Mus musculus: one gene and its partners. The protein of the gene in region 2 purifies or fractionates together with the protein of the main gene of each other region. This does not show direct contact. Links are inferred from orthologs where the notes say so. Each region holds a gene or a part of one and is shown on either strand. Other genes may lie near its edges.

Evidence for each region.
Region 1: the proteins of Stk26 (region 2) and Sike1 purify together in Homo sapiens (affinity purification with mass spectrometry; 4 studies listed by BioGRID and IntAct, with this or other methods). This does not show direct contact. The link is inferred for Mus musculus from reciprocal best matches to the Homo sapiens genes STK26 and SIKE1.
Region 3: the proteins of Stk26 (region 2) and Slmap purify together in Homo sapiens (affinity purification with mass spectrometry; 5 studies listed by BioGRID and IntAct, with this or other methods). This does not show direct contact. The link is inferred for Mus musculus from reciprocal best matches to the Homo sapiens genes STK26 and SLMAP.
Region 4: the proteins of Stk26 (region 2) and Cttnbp2 purify together in Homo sapiens (affinity purification with mass spectrometry; 4 studies listed by BioGRID and IntAct, with this or other methods). This does not show direct contact. The link is inferred for Mus musculus from reciprocal best matches to the Homo sapiens genes STK26 and CTTNBP2.

What each region holds. Positions count from the first base shown.
Region 1 is NC_000069.6:103,001,577-103,004,414, reverse strand, and holds the end of Sike1 (suppressor of IKBKE 1), read right to left. Parts: intron 2,708-2,838; coding exon 2,606-2,707; 3' UTR 501-2,605; downstream 1-500.
Region 2 is NC_000086.7:50,840,116-50,844,170, reverse strand, and holds the start of Stk26 (serine/threonine-protein kinase 26), read right to left. Parts: upstream 2,801-4,055; 5' UTR 2,625-2,800; intron 2,493-2,624; 5' UTR 2,378-2,492; coding exon 2,336-2,377; intron 1-2,335. UniProt on the Homo sapiens protein: Serine/threonine-protein kinase that acts as a mediator of cell growth. Modulates apoptosis. In association with STK24 negatively regulates Golgi reorientation in polarized cell migration upon RHO activation.
Region 3 is NC_000080.6:26,461,625-26,465,124, reverse strand, and holds part of Slmap (sarcolemmal membrane-associated protein), read left to right. Parts: intron 1-1,408; coding exon 1,409-1,549; intron 1,550-2,726; coding exon 2,727-2,864; intron 2,865-3,500. UniProt on the Homo sapiens protein: Associates with the striatin-interacting phosphatase and kinase (STRIPAK) core complex, forming the extended (SIKE1:SLMAP)STRIPAK complex.
Region 4 is NC_000072.6:18,424,370-18,427,869, reverse strand, and holds part of Cttnbp2 (cortactin-binding protein 2), read left to right. Parts: intron 1-227; coding exon 228-431; intron 432-1,734; coding exon 1,735-1,834; intron 1,835-3,500. UniProt on the Homo sapiens protein: Regulates the dendritic spine distribution of CTTN/cortactin in hippocampal neurons, and thus controls dendritic spinogenesis and dendritic spine maintenance.

The DNA.
Region 1 (2,838 bases), on a different chromosome or scaffold from region 2:
TGTTTAGTTTTTTGAGACAGGGTCTCTTGTAGCCCAGGCTGGTTTTGAATTTACTATGTAGCCAAGAATGACCTTGGATTTCTGCTCTTCCTGCTTCTGCTCCAAATTCTGGGATTACAGGCATGTGCCACCATGCCCAATTTATCTGCTGCTATCGGGCAGGCAGCATAGAGGGGAATAGCGCTGCTATATCCCACCCCTCTGTAATATCCCTTTACCACTCTTCTCATTTTAAAGTCGGTTTGTTTTTAACTCCTAGTGAAATAATTTGCACAGAACATCATACACAATTTATCTGTTTGTGTGTTGTAGGTCAGAAGGTAATTTTTAGAAGTTGGTTCTCTCCTTCCCTCATGTGGGTTCTGAGGAATTGAACTCAGGCCATCTGACTTCATGGTAAGCACTTAGACCTGCTGAGCCATCTCCTAGCCCTAACAGACATGTTCTTAAACCGGTACTGCCGTTTTCTGGAATGATTATTAAGATGTAAATTCCAGATTCCATCCATAAATTTCTATTTCATTAGGTGCATTTTAAGAAACATGGAAATAGACTTCAGTGGTAAATTATACATTCAGGACTTCTGCAATGAATAGGTTGTTAATGTGCTTTTCAAAGGTTTATACTGCTGAATATATTGAATAATTGCAAGCTGCTTATGACATCTATGTCATGAACACTTGCCATGGTTGCTATGTATGTGAATATGTGAAAAAAATCTCCTATACTTCTTTTTGCTTTTTTCAAGACAGGGTCTCCCTGTGTAGTCTCCTGGGACTCACTAGGTAAACCTGCATGTCCTCGAATTCAAGAGATGTGCCTCTGCCTTCCAAGTGCTGGGATTGCAGGTGTACATCGCCACTGCTCAGCTAAACTTCCTTTTTTTTTCCAGCTCAACTTCTTAGACTCATTTCTCAGTAAAATGAGCAAATCTTCTCAAAAAGGTTTTTATTAGTTAATATAATTTCATACTAAAATTTTATACACTAAATACTTCCACCCATTGCAAGAGATATTAGCATCTTCACACAAGTGTGAAACATTCTTTCTCCATTCAATGTGCTAGCTCTGCAATGCCTTCACAGCACTAACACCAGGCAGAATTTATACGACACAGGGCACCGAAAGCTTGCTCTACCCTCAGGACTGCAATGGAGAGATTCCTCTGAAAGCTAGATGCAAAGACCTTTGTAGTGAGTGCTACGGGAACAGAAGGCAGATAAAGAAAGGGACACCATGCTCACTGCTGAAATAGACTGACTGATAATGCTCTCACTGTGATGGGACCTGCTGTGACAGCTGACAAGTGGTAAAGGAACCCACCCCTGAATGGGTTTGTGGAGTACACACTTGGGGCCCTTAGGGGAAACATCAAGGGGAGCAGCTGGAGTGAAAGTTAACATGGGAACAAAAACCAAAGTCCATCTGGGCAAACAGTGCAAAAGGAATTATTTATAAACCTGACATATGAGCAAACCAAGATGAGAAGGAACTGACAGGGAGCTATTAGAATCTCAGGTTGTTCTTGATTGCCTGAATGCATGGCATCAGGAATGTGGTAACTTTCTGTGAGTAATAAAATGCTTCCATGAGAAAACCCAGCAGATGGAAAGACAGCAAAGTACTGATGCCGGTCTAAACCATCCCAGTGGTGCTGCTCTGCACAGCACAGCACAGCACAGCTGTGTGTCCATGAAAGTGCCTAGGAGCTAGGAACCTGTGAGTGAGGTATGTGTGTGTGTGTGTGTGTGTGTGTGTGTGTGTGTGTGTATGTGTATGTCTCATACAAGGCAACTACCTAAGCCGAAGACTCCTTAGGCAGACAGAATGGAAAACTACTTGGTCAAATAAATAAAAGCTATTTTTGGCATTTAAGTCCAATGTACATGTACAGTCATGTACATCTAATAGCTCCCTGTGCATGATGGGGCAGGCCCAAGTTCCTCAGCACTCTCTGAATGACTGTGGATCCTTGAGGAGGAGGAGGAGCAACGCGAACCCGGCTTACTTGTTTTCAAGCGTATTTCCTGGGGACTAATAGATTCTCTCAAATTAAGAGCAAAGACACCTGACCACAAAGTGCCAACTCCTAGCACCGGAGAGGATCAAACCCCATGGATGAGCGACGTCACTCAGAGACTCTGCCAATCTGCTTCTTTGAAGTCATGCTACTTTTACAAGTGGAAGAAAAAAAAAATCTAGGTTTACACCAAATATGTATTTTTAAAAAGTTAAATCTTTGAAAAACTCTTAGAAGGAATTTTTATAATCCTATATAAAATAAAATCCTGGCTTATAATAAAAGTGTTCAGTGTTTCCAAGCTGTGAAAAACAACATTGAACTGCAGGTAACAGTTTATAGAGATTCCGGACTAGAGTGACAAATGTCATCTCTGTCCCAGCAATGGGGGACTTGTCTAGTTTCACTAGTACACCCCAAACTAGTTAGTGGACAATGAATACCAAGTGGCAATTCTAAACTGCCACCCCATACCTCTACCCAACACTAAGTCAAGTCTGCGGCAGGACTCTTGGACACGGCAGGAGAGGAGGGCACGGCTTCTCGCTCTGACGGGCAAGCTGTAGCCAGCCTTCGGAAGTCCAGTTACTTGATGGTCTGAGAGGCAGGAGCCACAGAGCTTTCTTTTCCAACCTGCAGAGATTCACTGCTGATGGACAGTAACTCTCGAAGTTCCTTATTTTCAAGCTGGGGAGAAAAGATATTTCCTGTGTTTTAATTGTTAAACTATGTCAGAACATACTATTTTGGCCCAGAAAGAGGAAAAAAAAATTTTTTTTTGGCTTTTCTTTTTTAAGATTTATTTATTATTATACATA
Region 2 (4,055 bases):
AGTCAATCACTCCACCCTGATTTGGGGAAATATTGCACATTAATTTAAAGAACACATGGCAAATTCAAGATTTCTTGCTACTTAAACAACCTAAAAGTTGCTTGCTTCTAACTCTAACAAAACTATAGGAGACCATTATGATCCCAGAATATATTTCTACATTATAGTTTTTGGGAAATACAACAAAACTATTCTAGGCTAAAGGGTCATGCTGCATGCTGTGAATGTGTTTTAGGTCCCTGTATAATTTCAAAGATGGAAAAGCTGTCTTCTTTAAATGTTGCAGCAAGTGCTTAAGAACTACATCTAGAAATAAAAATGAAAATAATTGGATAACGTGCTACTTCACTTAGATGGAAAGTGGCGGAGCAAGAATCAATAATCTTTGCTTGCTGAATGTGAGATGACTATCCTGTACAGCTAAGGACTGACAAATTAATAACTTGGGGAAGGCACACCATGCAAGGCAAAGTTGATCATTTCAAATATGTGATTCCCATTTCAACCCACCTTAATTAAGATCTAAAAATCCAAGAGATAGCTAGCTCCCATAATTAAACAAAGCAAGGAGCAATGTGACAATGCTCAACGGTGAGCACTTAGCAAACCATCTCTATCCAATAAAGTCAGAACAAATTAAATAAAGACCAGAAACCACATAAATCAAATAAAGTCAAGCCAAATGAAATAAAGACCAGGAACCCTTTTCTGGTGATCACACTGAGTAGCCCAGAATCACACAAAGTTGATGAAGGGGAGGCACCAGTGTGGCCGCATGCAGGCAGGCGCCTGCTCACAATGGAGAGAGAAGCATGGAGCCTCTGAGCAGTAGCCATATGTAAAGTTCTATGTCTCCACATAATAGAAAGCTGTGCACGAAGGGGGAAAGTTCACGTGTCGTTCCAAACCAGGCAGAGCAAAACCAGTTCCTATTGCAAACTACTACTTGTCCAGATACAAGCAAAGTCAGACTTCAATGAATGGCGTGTGGGGCAGAGCAGTTAGGGAAAAGAGAGCCAGAGATGGAGAATGCATGAGGAAAAAAAAGTTTGGGGCACTGGGAAAAACTGAAATGGATTAATACCACAAAAAGCCCCACTCTTTCTATTTTACATTTCTTTCCCTCCCCTTCCTGAGTCTCAACCCAGACCTGCCCTTAAATACAGGAGACATGTATGTCCTGTACAAATGACCCCTTTGAGGAGAAAGGATATTTTTAAAAGCACCTTTTTATTTTTATCATAAATACAATGAGACCAGTCAGCACATGCGGCAGTAGACAGAGACTCCAATTCACAAAGTTTGGACTCCTAGTAGAAGCGTAAGCTATGCAGTGGTCTCCACATTTCAGAACTTGAAATAATTTGTTTGTTTGACTTAGCATAGTTAGAAGATCATAAGGAACCCAGTCTCAGTGTTTTTAGCCTCTGACTTATAACTCATAAAGGGTTATTTAGGTTGCCATGGGGGATACCCCAAATGTAAATGCTTTAAAAAGTTAAGAGTGGTTAAAAAAACAACAAGATGTGTAAAACATTTGTTGACATAATTTTCTTTAACGAAACGATAGTATAATGGGAGGAGAACTGTATGGATTTTGAGTAAAATGTTGGGTCCCACACTTTTTTCCCCCTTTGCGCTGGACAAAAGCTTAAGTACGTGTACCAACCACCTTAGCAGACAGACAAGGAGAAAGGTATGTGGAGTCATTACCTAGGCCCTCAGAACAGGATCCTGCAGTCCTTGGAACACTACCCACTGAGCTAGGTAGGGGAGCGTGATAGAAGTTTGCTTCTAAGTGGCACCAAAGGGGAAAAGAAGGCATCTTGCTCTTCTGTCTTTGCACACAGGAAGAACCAAATTCAATGCCTCCACCACTCCTGGTCTCGCTCCGCCCCAACCTCTGTGTGTGTACCGTGTGGGGGCACCTCTTGGGTGTTTTAGCCCACACATTCCAGGACGCCTCTATCTCATCGAGGTTAAGTTCTGGGACTCCCCCACGCTGAATCCTCAACTGTGCCACGATTAACAAGCCAACAAGTACAGGTGCCTAAGGTTCTGGCCTATTTTTATACGTGTACTCCCCCCCCCCCCACACACACACACACCAACACCAACTGAGTCTCTCCCCAGTCGCCTCAATCTCTCCAGTGCAAAACACCTTCTAGCCCGGACGCCAGGAAACACCTCGAGCTTTACTTCGGGGTCACCTGGTGAGAGATCCGGCCCTGCCTTCAGGTTTGCCCCGTGGCTGCCCTGGTCCCTGGTGCCTGGTGCCCAAAGCGGGGCTTCGGAGCAGTCACGTGGGCGGCACGGGAGGCCTGGGCTTCCTCACCTGCATCCCAGGCACTTGAACAGCCACCGGTGAGTGGGCCATGGTGGCGACTGCTACTTCGCGCTGCTTCTGCGGTGGTGGCGGTGGCGCCTCCGGCAGAGACTGGCTCCTCCTACGGAGGTATCTCTGCAGCTCTACCAGGCTTCTCGATCGAGGCCTGGAAGGACGCAGAGAAGTGGAGTTAGTGGGCTGGTGGCTTGCAGCCTCCACTCCCCCCATTCCGCCCCCCCCCCCCCTGCGGGGAGGTGAGCGGTTCGCGCCGCTGCTCTCCCGGACTCAGTTTACCTACCTCTCTGCCGCTCGCCTGCCTGGCTTTTGGCTAACTGCAGTGTTGCTCTCTTTCCTGAATGCAGGGCTTGACCTGTGGCGGTGCCTGGGACCTGGGCTCCAGTGATGCCGCTTTGCTGCGCCTCGCCGCTTTAGGAAGAGGAGGTGGAGGCACCCCAGCAACCCGCCCGAACGCTTAGGCTGGGAGGCGGCTGGGGGCGGTTCCCCGGTTGGCCCTGCCTCCACCCCGCTGCCGGGCGGTGTCAGGGGAGCTGAGGCTTCAGGCTGCAAAGGGGGTTGGCTAACATAGCCAGAGTTGGAGACGCTCGGGGCTCTCAGGGGTTGCGGAGAGCAGCAGAAAGGCGGGATCGGGATCGAAAAACTTGGAACATAACCGAGCCTGGAGAAAGAACAGAAGAGTTTGCGGGAGTGGGGTAGGGGAGATGAGGGCAACCCGGATGAATGCGGCCACGTTGCAGACAGGCTTGCGAGGCTGGGGTGCTTGTAGCCTCCCAGAGGTCTGGAGTTGCAAAAGTTTTGCTTGGCTCCCCCACCTGGCCAAGGGTGGGGCCACCGAGCCAGACACCTGCTCCTTCACGCCTAAGTTCCTTCCCTCTTGCAATTTTCAGCTTCCTTGCCCTTAGATATGCCTCAAGTCACTTTAACCTGAGTCTGTCCTTACCTTAGGCTATTAGTTGAGGAACGGCCTGGCTGAAATTGCTCACAATTTCTGCGCGTGTAAAAGAGAGGCAAATTGGAAAACGGATCATGTATTGGCAGAAAACTTAACAACGATAACAGAGGCAAGGAGCATGAGATTACATCTTTCCGAGTATAGATATTTGAATTTAGCATGCAGCACAGTGACTTCTGCAACTCTCTGCCTTCTTCTAATTTAAGTTCAACTCCAGGAGTGAGGCAGACCCTTTCTGGAGGACCCAATAACACAATAATGACAGTGATAATAATAGCAGTCACAGGAGTCTCAGGGAAGCACCTATGTGAACACCCGGGCTACTAAAGGTTACAGGACAAAATAAGATCCAAGTAAATGTGTAAAATGAGAACTCACCTTGAAGTTTGCCAGATGCCCGTGCAACCAATGCACACTCAACAAATGCTATTCTTTTTTAAATAATTTTTTTCTCCAAGAACAGTATCTGGTTATTATCAACATTAGTAGTAGTAGTAGATTTCGTTTTCATTGCCCCAGAGATCCCGAAATTTACCCTCTGTATATTGTAAAGAGTTATTGTGACAAGCGCTCACTTGAGTCACACTGCCTTCTCCCCACTGAGCAAATAGATCAAAAGGCTCAGCCAAGTAAATATTTGACTCAAATATTGCAATTAAAAAGCAATACATCTGAGAAGTCCAATCTGGGCCCCCCTGCCACATACTACCTTCTATTAATATGGTAGAAGTATATTAAATATGGTATTGATTTTACCTT
Region 3 (3,500 bases), on a different chromosome or scaffold from region 2:
TATGTTAAAACATTTATATAGTCCACAATTCTTTCACATCTTTGTCGCAAAAAAATTCAAGTATACATATAAGTGGGAAGAATTGTGTGATGCATACCTGTGCTCAATTCTGATTTCTTTTTCTATTACAATTGATTGATATTCATTGACGAAGTGATTTGCCTTCTGGAATGTGACTTGATTTAAACTTGGTTTATATAAATGTTTATTGAAACATTTTTCTGAGCCGGTGTGGTGGCGCACGCCTTTTATCCGAGCACTCAGGAAGCAGAGGCAGGTGGATTTCTGAGTTTGAGGCCAGCCTGGTCTACAAAGTGAGTTCCAAGACAGCCAGGACTATACAGAGAAACCCTATCTTCAAAAACCAAAAAAAAAAAAAAAAAAAAAAAAGAAAAAAAGAAAAAGAAAGAAAGAAAGCAAGCAAGCAAGCATTTTTCTGGTTCTTTGGCATGAAGTAGTAGATAATTGGTCTGGTCAGAGGTTATGATACTTGTTTCACCTGTCCACTCACCATGGATGGTTTTGTTCTTCAATCAAAGACATAATCGCAGATGGCTCTCCTTTTAAGATGTTACCATTCATTGATGACTCTTCACGAGGTTCATTATTTCATTAAGGATATTTAACATAGTAATGCAATTCTGCCATTTCTTCATTTACTTCTTCAGAGAGAATTCTTCCTTCATGAACCATCTTATTACTCTGAAGTATATTTTCTACAGAAAAAAAAACAAAACAAAACAAGTCTCCCCCAATTATTTACTAGATTAAAACAGAATAAACTGTTTTTTGGGTTTTTTTTTTTTGTTGTTTTAATCCAGCAGCAAATGACAATGTAGTGCTTTCTCTCTTGCTTAGATTGAAGTACATTTTGGTGTGTTTAAGTCTATACTAGTAGTTATCTTTGTGGATGATCAAATCAGTCTGAGTTTTCTGTGAGTAAATGCTTTGAGGTTGGCTCTCTGGCTCTCTCTCACCTGCTTTAATGGCTCCAGCCGACTGCGAGCCTGGAGGCCCTGTGCTCACCTGCACAGTTTTTGTTCCAACCCTGGACTTTCCTTTTTCCTCACGAAGCTCTTACTGCTTCCGTTTGGGGCAAATGAAATTATGAGCAATGATTTTTGCTTATAACTGAAACTATGATAGCTTCTACAGAATACGAGTAATTAATCTTAATATTTGAGATAAACTATTTGCCTTTAGCTCATTTCTATTGAAATTAGTGTAATTTCTGAAGTATAAGTTACTACTGCAACTTTGAAATACACATTTAGTTAATAGTAGGCCAACATTTGTATTTGTGGGTACCGTGACATTATAATTTTGAGTATTTTAATGAGTTTCTTTCAAAGGATAAACAGTTTTCACAGAAAAGTGACTTGGGTGTGATGTGAGTGTCTTATCCTAGAATCAAACAGAAGACAGTTTACGGAAGGAGCTGATTGCACTGCAGGAGGATAAACACAGCTATGAAACCACAGCCAAAGAGTCCCTGAGGCGGGTTCTTCAGGAGAAAATCGAAGTGGTTAGAAAACTTTCAGAAGTTGAGGTATTTCACTTTTACTGCCATTGTTTTTAAAGATTTGTTTTACTTTTAAAATTATGTCTATGTGAAGTAAGTGTGGGTATTGTGTGCTAGTGAACGTGTCTGCAGAAGGCTGAGGCCTCGAATCCACTGGACCTGGAATTATAGGCAGTTTTCACCCATCTGATGTGGATGCTGGGAACTGAGCTATCATTGCCTGGTCTGGAGTTAGAGCAGGTTGGCCCCTGGACTACTTTTGTCTTCCAAGTGGTGGAATTAAAGACTTGCTGGCACCATGTCTGGTGGGAATTGATCTTTTGTCACATAATTGACGATGGTCACATAAGGCTGAGACGTTACTACTTCAGCCATCCTCTAGAGCAGTGGCTCTCAGCCTTCCTAGTGCTCAGGCCTTTAATACAGTTCCTCATGTGTGCTGACCTGACTCCCAACCATAAGGTTATTTTTGTTGCTACTCCGTAACTGTAGTTTTGCTACTGTTAATTCTAATGTGAGCACCCATATTTTTGGATGGTCTTAGGCACCCTATGAGATTGTTCTGCCCACAGAAGTTAATACCTACTGCTTTAGGGTGGCACTTTATCTTAGGCTTTACAAGTTAATATTGTCCAGGTTCTATGAAAAATCAAAGTGTGATTCTTGTGACTGAGGATCTAGCTCAGTGGGCATGTGCTTAGCATGTGTGAGGACATGGATAATGGATAGTTTGTATTATGGTCTCATTCTATAACACGTGCTTTATGTTCATTGATGTTTGATTAATCTGACATACACACAAAGTTTCAGGTGTCTTTCTGTTTTCACATTAGATGAATTGTTATATGGTTTTATTCTTACTTTAAGGATTGTTGACTTAGAGGTTGAGTGCGATAGAGTGTACTTATAATCACCGCACTTGGGAGTCTAAGGCAGGAGATTCACAGGAGATTAGGCTAGCCTGTACTTCATAGTGAACTTGAAGCCAGCTTGAGTAACATAATATTGTTAAGAGTTACGTTTTAGTATATATGTTGCTGAAATTATTTTGTCTTTTAAATCAGCTTTTTATAAATTTAATCCAAATGTTGATGTAGACTAGTTCAGAACTACACTTTTTACAAATTGAAAATAAAATTGAACGATAAATTTAAAATAAGTACCCATTTACTCTAACTGAATTCCCTGTGAACTTGCCTTGCAGCGAAGTCTGAGTAATACTGAAGATGAATGTACCCACCTGAAAGAGATGAATGAGCGCACTCAGGAAGAGTTGAGAGAATTAGCCAATAAATATAATGGAGCAGTTAATGAAATTAAAGATTTATCTGATAAATTAAAGGTATGTATACTAGTTCCTTTTGTGTTGCTGTGGTAGGATACCATGAACAGAATACTTTATAGAAGGAAGAGGTTACTTGGGCTTGGGGTTCCAGAGGAGCCTTTCACCATCATGGCGAGGAAGTGTGGCAGCAGTCATCTATGGCAGCTGGAGCTGGAAGCTTAGAGATCACTGGGAATGGCTTGAGCCTCTGAAACATCCAAGTCTATACCCTGTGACATATTCCTCCCACAAAGGCACACTTCTTAGACCTACCCAAACAGCATTACCAACTGAGTACCAAGTGTTCAGACATGTGACCTGTGAGGGACATTCTTAATCCAGCCATCACAGCTTCTATGTCAACCACTAGACGCATGTTAGCGTCACTAACGTGCTAATCGCTTAAGACGTTTATTAGTCACTCAAGAGCTGGTGATGTAAAATTGGGTAAAATTAAAAAGTTGAAACTGATAGTGAAAATAGAAAATGTATTCTATTTAGTCTATCCTCTATTATTGTTGAAATTGAAAGCCTTTAAAGTAGACATACTTCTAGATGGAAATGTAGTCAGCACTTCATAACAGCAGATGTAGTGTTTGCTTCAGCATCCCATAGACTAAGAAAAGAACAGCATTTTCTAATATACACTTGGAA
Region 4 (3,500 bases), on a different chromosome or scaffold from region 2:
CTAAAAATAACATGTCCTCATTAAGGTTAATTTAATTAGCACCAGATAGAAAGTCTGAAAATAACAGTATGGGTTTGTGCTAAGAAAGTATTAACAGATTGATAGTGTTAGAAACCATGTAATCTTCTAGGGATACATGTTCATGTCTCTGTGTGTGTGATTCAAAAAGGAATGGTAGTATCTGTCTCTTCTTCCTGCTCACTAACTAGGGTCACTTTAACCTACAGGCTGGTCACCCTCCCTAACCCCTTTGCTAATGAGTGGTGGTCCTGCCCCCCTGGCTGGCAGGCCCACCCTTCTTCAGCAAGCTGCTGCCCAGGGAAATGTCACTTTATTATCAATGCTGCTTAATGAAGAAGGACTGGACATAAATTACTCCTGCGAAGATGGCCATTCTGCCTTGTATTCTGCTGCTAAGAATGGACATACAGGTAAAAAGCCAAAACAAAACAAAACAAAAAAAACAAACCAACAGTGTCTTACCTTAACATACTTGGCAAAAGTATGGATGACCAAAGGTGATTTAAATCACTGCTGTGAGCAAAGGGTCCTCTTGGATTTCTTTTTTTTTTTTTTTTAAGGAGGAACAGAATGGGGATTTTTTAAAAATAAGTTTTAAAGTCTTATGAATATTTAAGGACCTAATTATATGGCCCCTTACTGTAAAATGTAGAGCCAGTGGTGAATCAATTTTCACAAAGGTACAACAAAATGTATTGTCCATATAGAGATTTTTAAACACACATTAAAATGTAACTCTCCATCCGAGGTCACTCTTGTCAGCACAGAGTAACCCTGATTTCCTTGGTAGCAAGAATACCTGCTGTGGGAGAAGCAGGTCTTCCAGGCTCTTAGGCTTAGGTGTTGAGTGGCTGCCACAGTGAGGCTCTACCAATTAGAAAGAGTGGACTTGTAATAATTTATAGTTATTTAGATTGGTTTTTTTTTTGAGAAGTGAAAACTTACTATAAATGTTATGACAGCAAAGACTAATAATTCTTTTTACTCTTTCAAATGCAAATCTTGTAGTTAACTATACTAAAACACGTGGTAACACAGAAAAAGAGATGGCTTGACTACATGTTCTAAGCTACTATGTGTGTGCACTGTGGACTATTTCCTGCTTGGATCAGATAGACTCGGAGCTAAGGAGACTCAGTACATGTAAAGCACTTTGGAATTCAAAAGGCACTGGGGGAATTTTCTTCACTGTAGAGAAATTAAATTTAGATCATTCAGTATTATTTATGAAAGTTCTGTGTTAGTGATGTTTGTGTCTCAGGTGGCTTTCTGTGGGCTTTCCTTGATCTTCAAGTAGCCAAGTGTAGGATGGCCCACATAGAAGTACTTTGATGATTAGATTAGCATTAATCATTCAGTAAGAATGTAACTATATAAATACAGTTTGGTAAACAGATCTGATTGTCTGCCCCAAAACATTCTTTTGAAGAAAATCAGGCCTAGAACCTAGCAAAGTATTTTTCCGGTACATGGTATTCTTTTTTTAACCCATCAACAACTCTACTGGAAATATTTTTTTAAAACCATGTCTTGGTGGCTGTGGAGATATCCTGTCTTCAGGAAAAGAGATGGCTCTCCATGTGAAAGTCTGTGGCATGCCACATCCAGCAGGACAGAGCGGTCAGGTCAGCCTTTGCTGCTAGATTCTCTGCACAGCTTAGAGGGAACCTGGCTCATCATTGCACTGAGTGACCTTCTGTTAAAATCCTGTAGACTGTGTGCGATTGCTGCTGAATGCAGAAGCCCGAGTCGACGCTGCTGATAAAAATGGCTTCACACCCTTGTGCGTCGCAGCTGCTCAGGGACATTTTGAGTAAGTGATGCTCTTCATTCTTCTTTTCCTATGGAAGTGGACCCCTTTTTAATATTTGGCACAGAGTTCACTCCTGCTAAGTATGTAAATGAGTGGTTAATAGTCATTGAGAAATCCACCAAACATATTTGAGTGTTCAAATGCAAAGAAGGACCTTAGATTTGTTCTCATAATAATAGTTAAGTGCTGTATCTAAAGCAAGTGTGTATATGTCTAGTCTGTATATAATCTGTACATAGATGTATACAATCTGATCTATCCATCAATGAACTTGCTTCTGGAAAAGCTCAACATTAGTATAGCAATGGAGAACAAAGTAAGGTGTGCTGAGAGCTTTGTCTGCTTTCTCTTTTCTATAAAGGCTTTTGTTAGTGCTAACATTAAAGGTAGAACGTAGAATTATATTGTTTACTAAAATCCCGTTATTCTACAGTAAGGTAAGTTATTTGATAGTCCCAAATGCTCCTGTTTCTTCATTCACAATTAAGAGAAAAATCAAAGCAAAGCTTTTGCAAACTGAAAGTAGCTCATGTACAAAGGGAACCTGTTAATTAATATGCACATAACTTTAACCATGAGTTCTAAAGAGCTTCGAAGTCATTAAATACAGGGATTTCTTTTTAAAAACTAAAAGTCCCATTTTAATAATAGAATATTGTCAAATTGCTGTCCTGCGTGTGCTGAGCTGGCAGGTTGTGAGGAATAAATACTGCAGCCACCTTTCAGATCCATCTGTCCAGAGAGAAATAGTCTTGCACAAATTACAGCATCCATGACATTTTGGTTATAAGCCTTAGCCTTCAACAGCTGAGCTACTTCCCCAGCTCAAACTATACCATTCTTAAAAATAAAGCTTTTTAGAATTCACATCAGCACTGTTAATTCTAAGTGTGTTCTCCAGTATTCCGGAGGCAGCCTTCAGTGTCTAGAGTCATTGCTCGTATGTGTCTGCCATGCGTCTCAGCAGCCTGGCTTCAGTTTGGGAACTCACATCAGAGCTACTTTTTGCTGTTACCTTCTGGTTATATTCTGTGTCCCACTGAACAGATCTCTCCTGCTGGCTTGGGTTTCCGTGTCCGTCACCTTCATGTTACCAGGCCATCTGTAAGCTCCGTGCTTGGAGGATGTCACTGTCACAGTACAGAAGCATGGATAGCTTTGGACAAAAAAAAACAAAAAAACAAAAAAAAACAAAACCCTGTGGAAATTCAGGAATCAGTAAATTTAAAGATTGCGTCACACAGATATGTCAGCGTGTTACTTAAAAAAAAAAAAAGTAATAACTTATGTAAGCCAAATGCTGAAAGAAAAATGAACTCCCCAAAGGCAAATCCTTCACTTTGTCCACATTCTATCTCTGTGTTGAACTAATCACAAAGTCGCAGTCGCAGCATGGCCTCCTTTTCTTCTTGAGTGTGTTTCTGTGTAGCTGTGTCCTCAGAAGCCAGCTCCTACCCAAAGAGACAGCCTCTTCCATCCTTCTCTCAAGGCAGCCCTTTTCCCAGCCCCCTGCTCCTTTTTATAGAGGAAGCACACAGTGCTCGGCTGTCTATGCTATTTATAATCATTTTCTTGAGTGAATAAAAAAAAAAATCACAGAATGATTCAGCAGCCTCATGTGTTTTTTTGGGGTTTTTTTTTTGTTTTTTTTTTTGTTTTTTTTTTT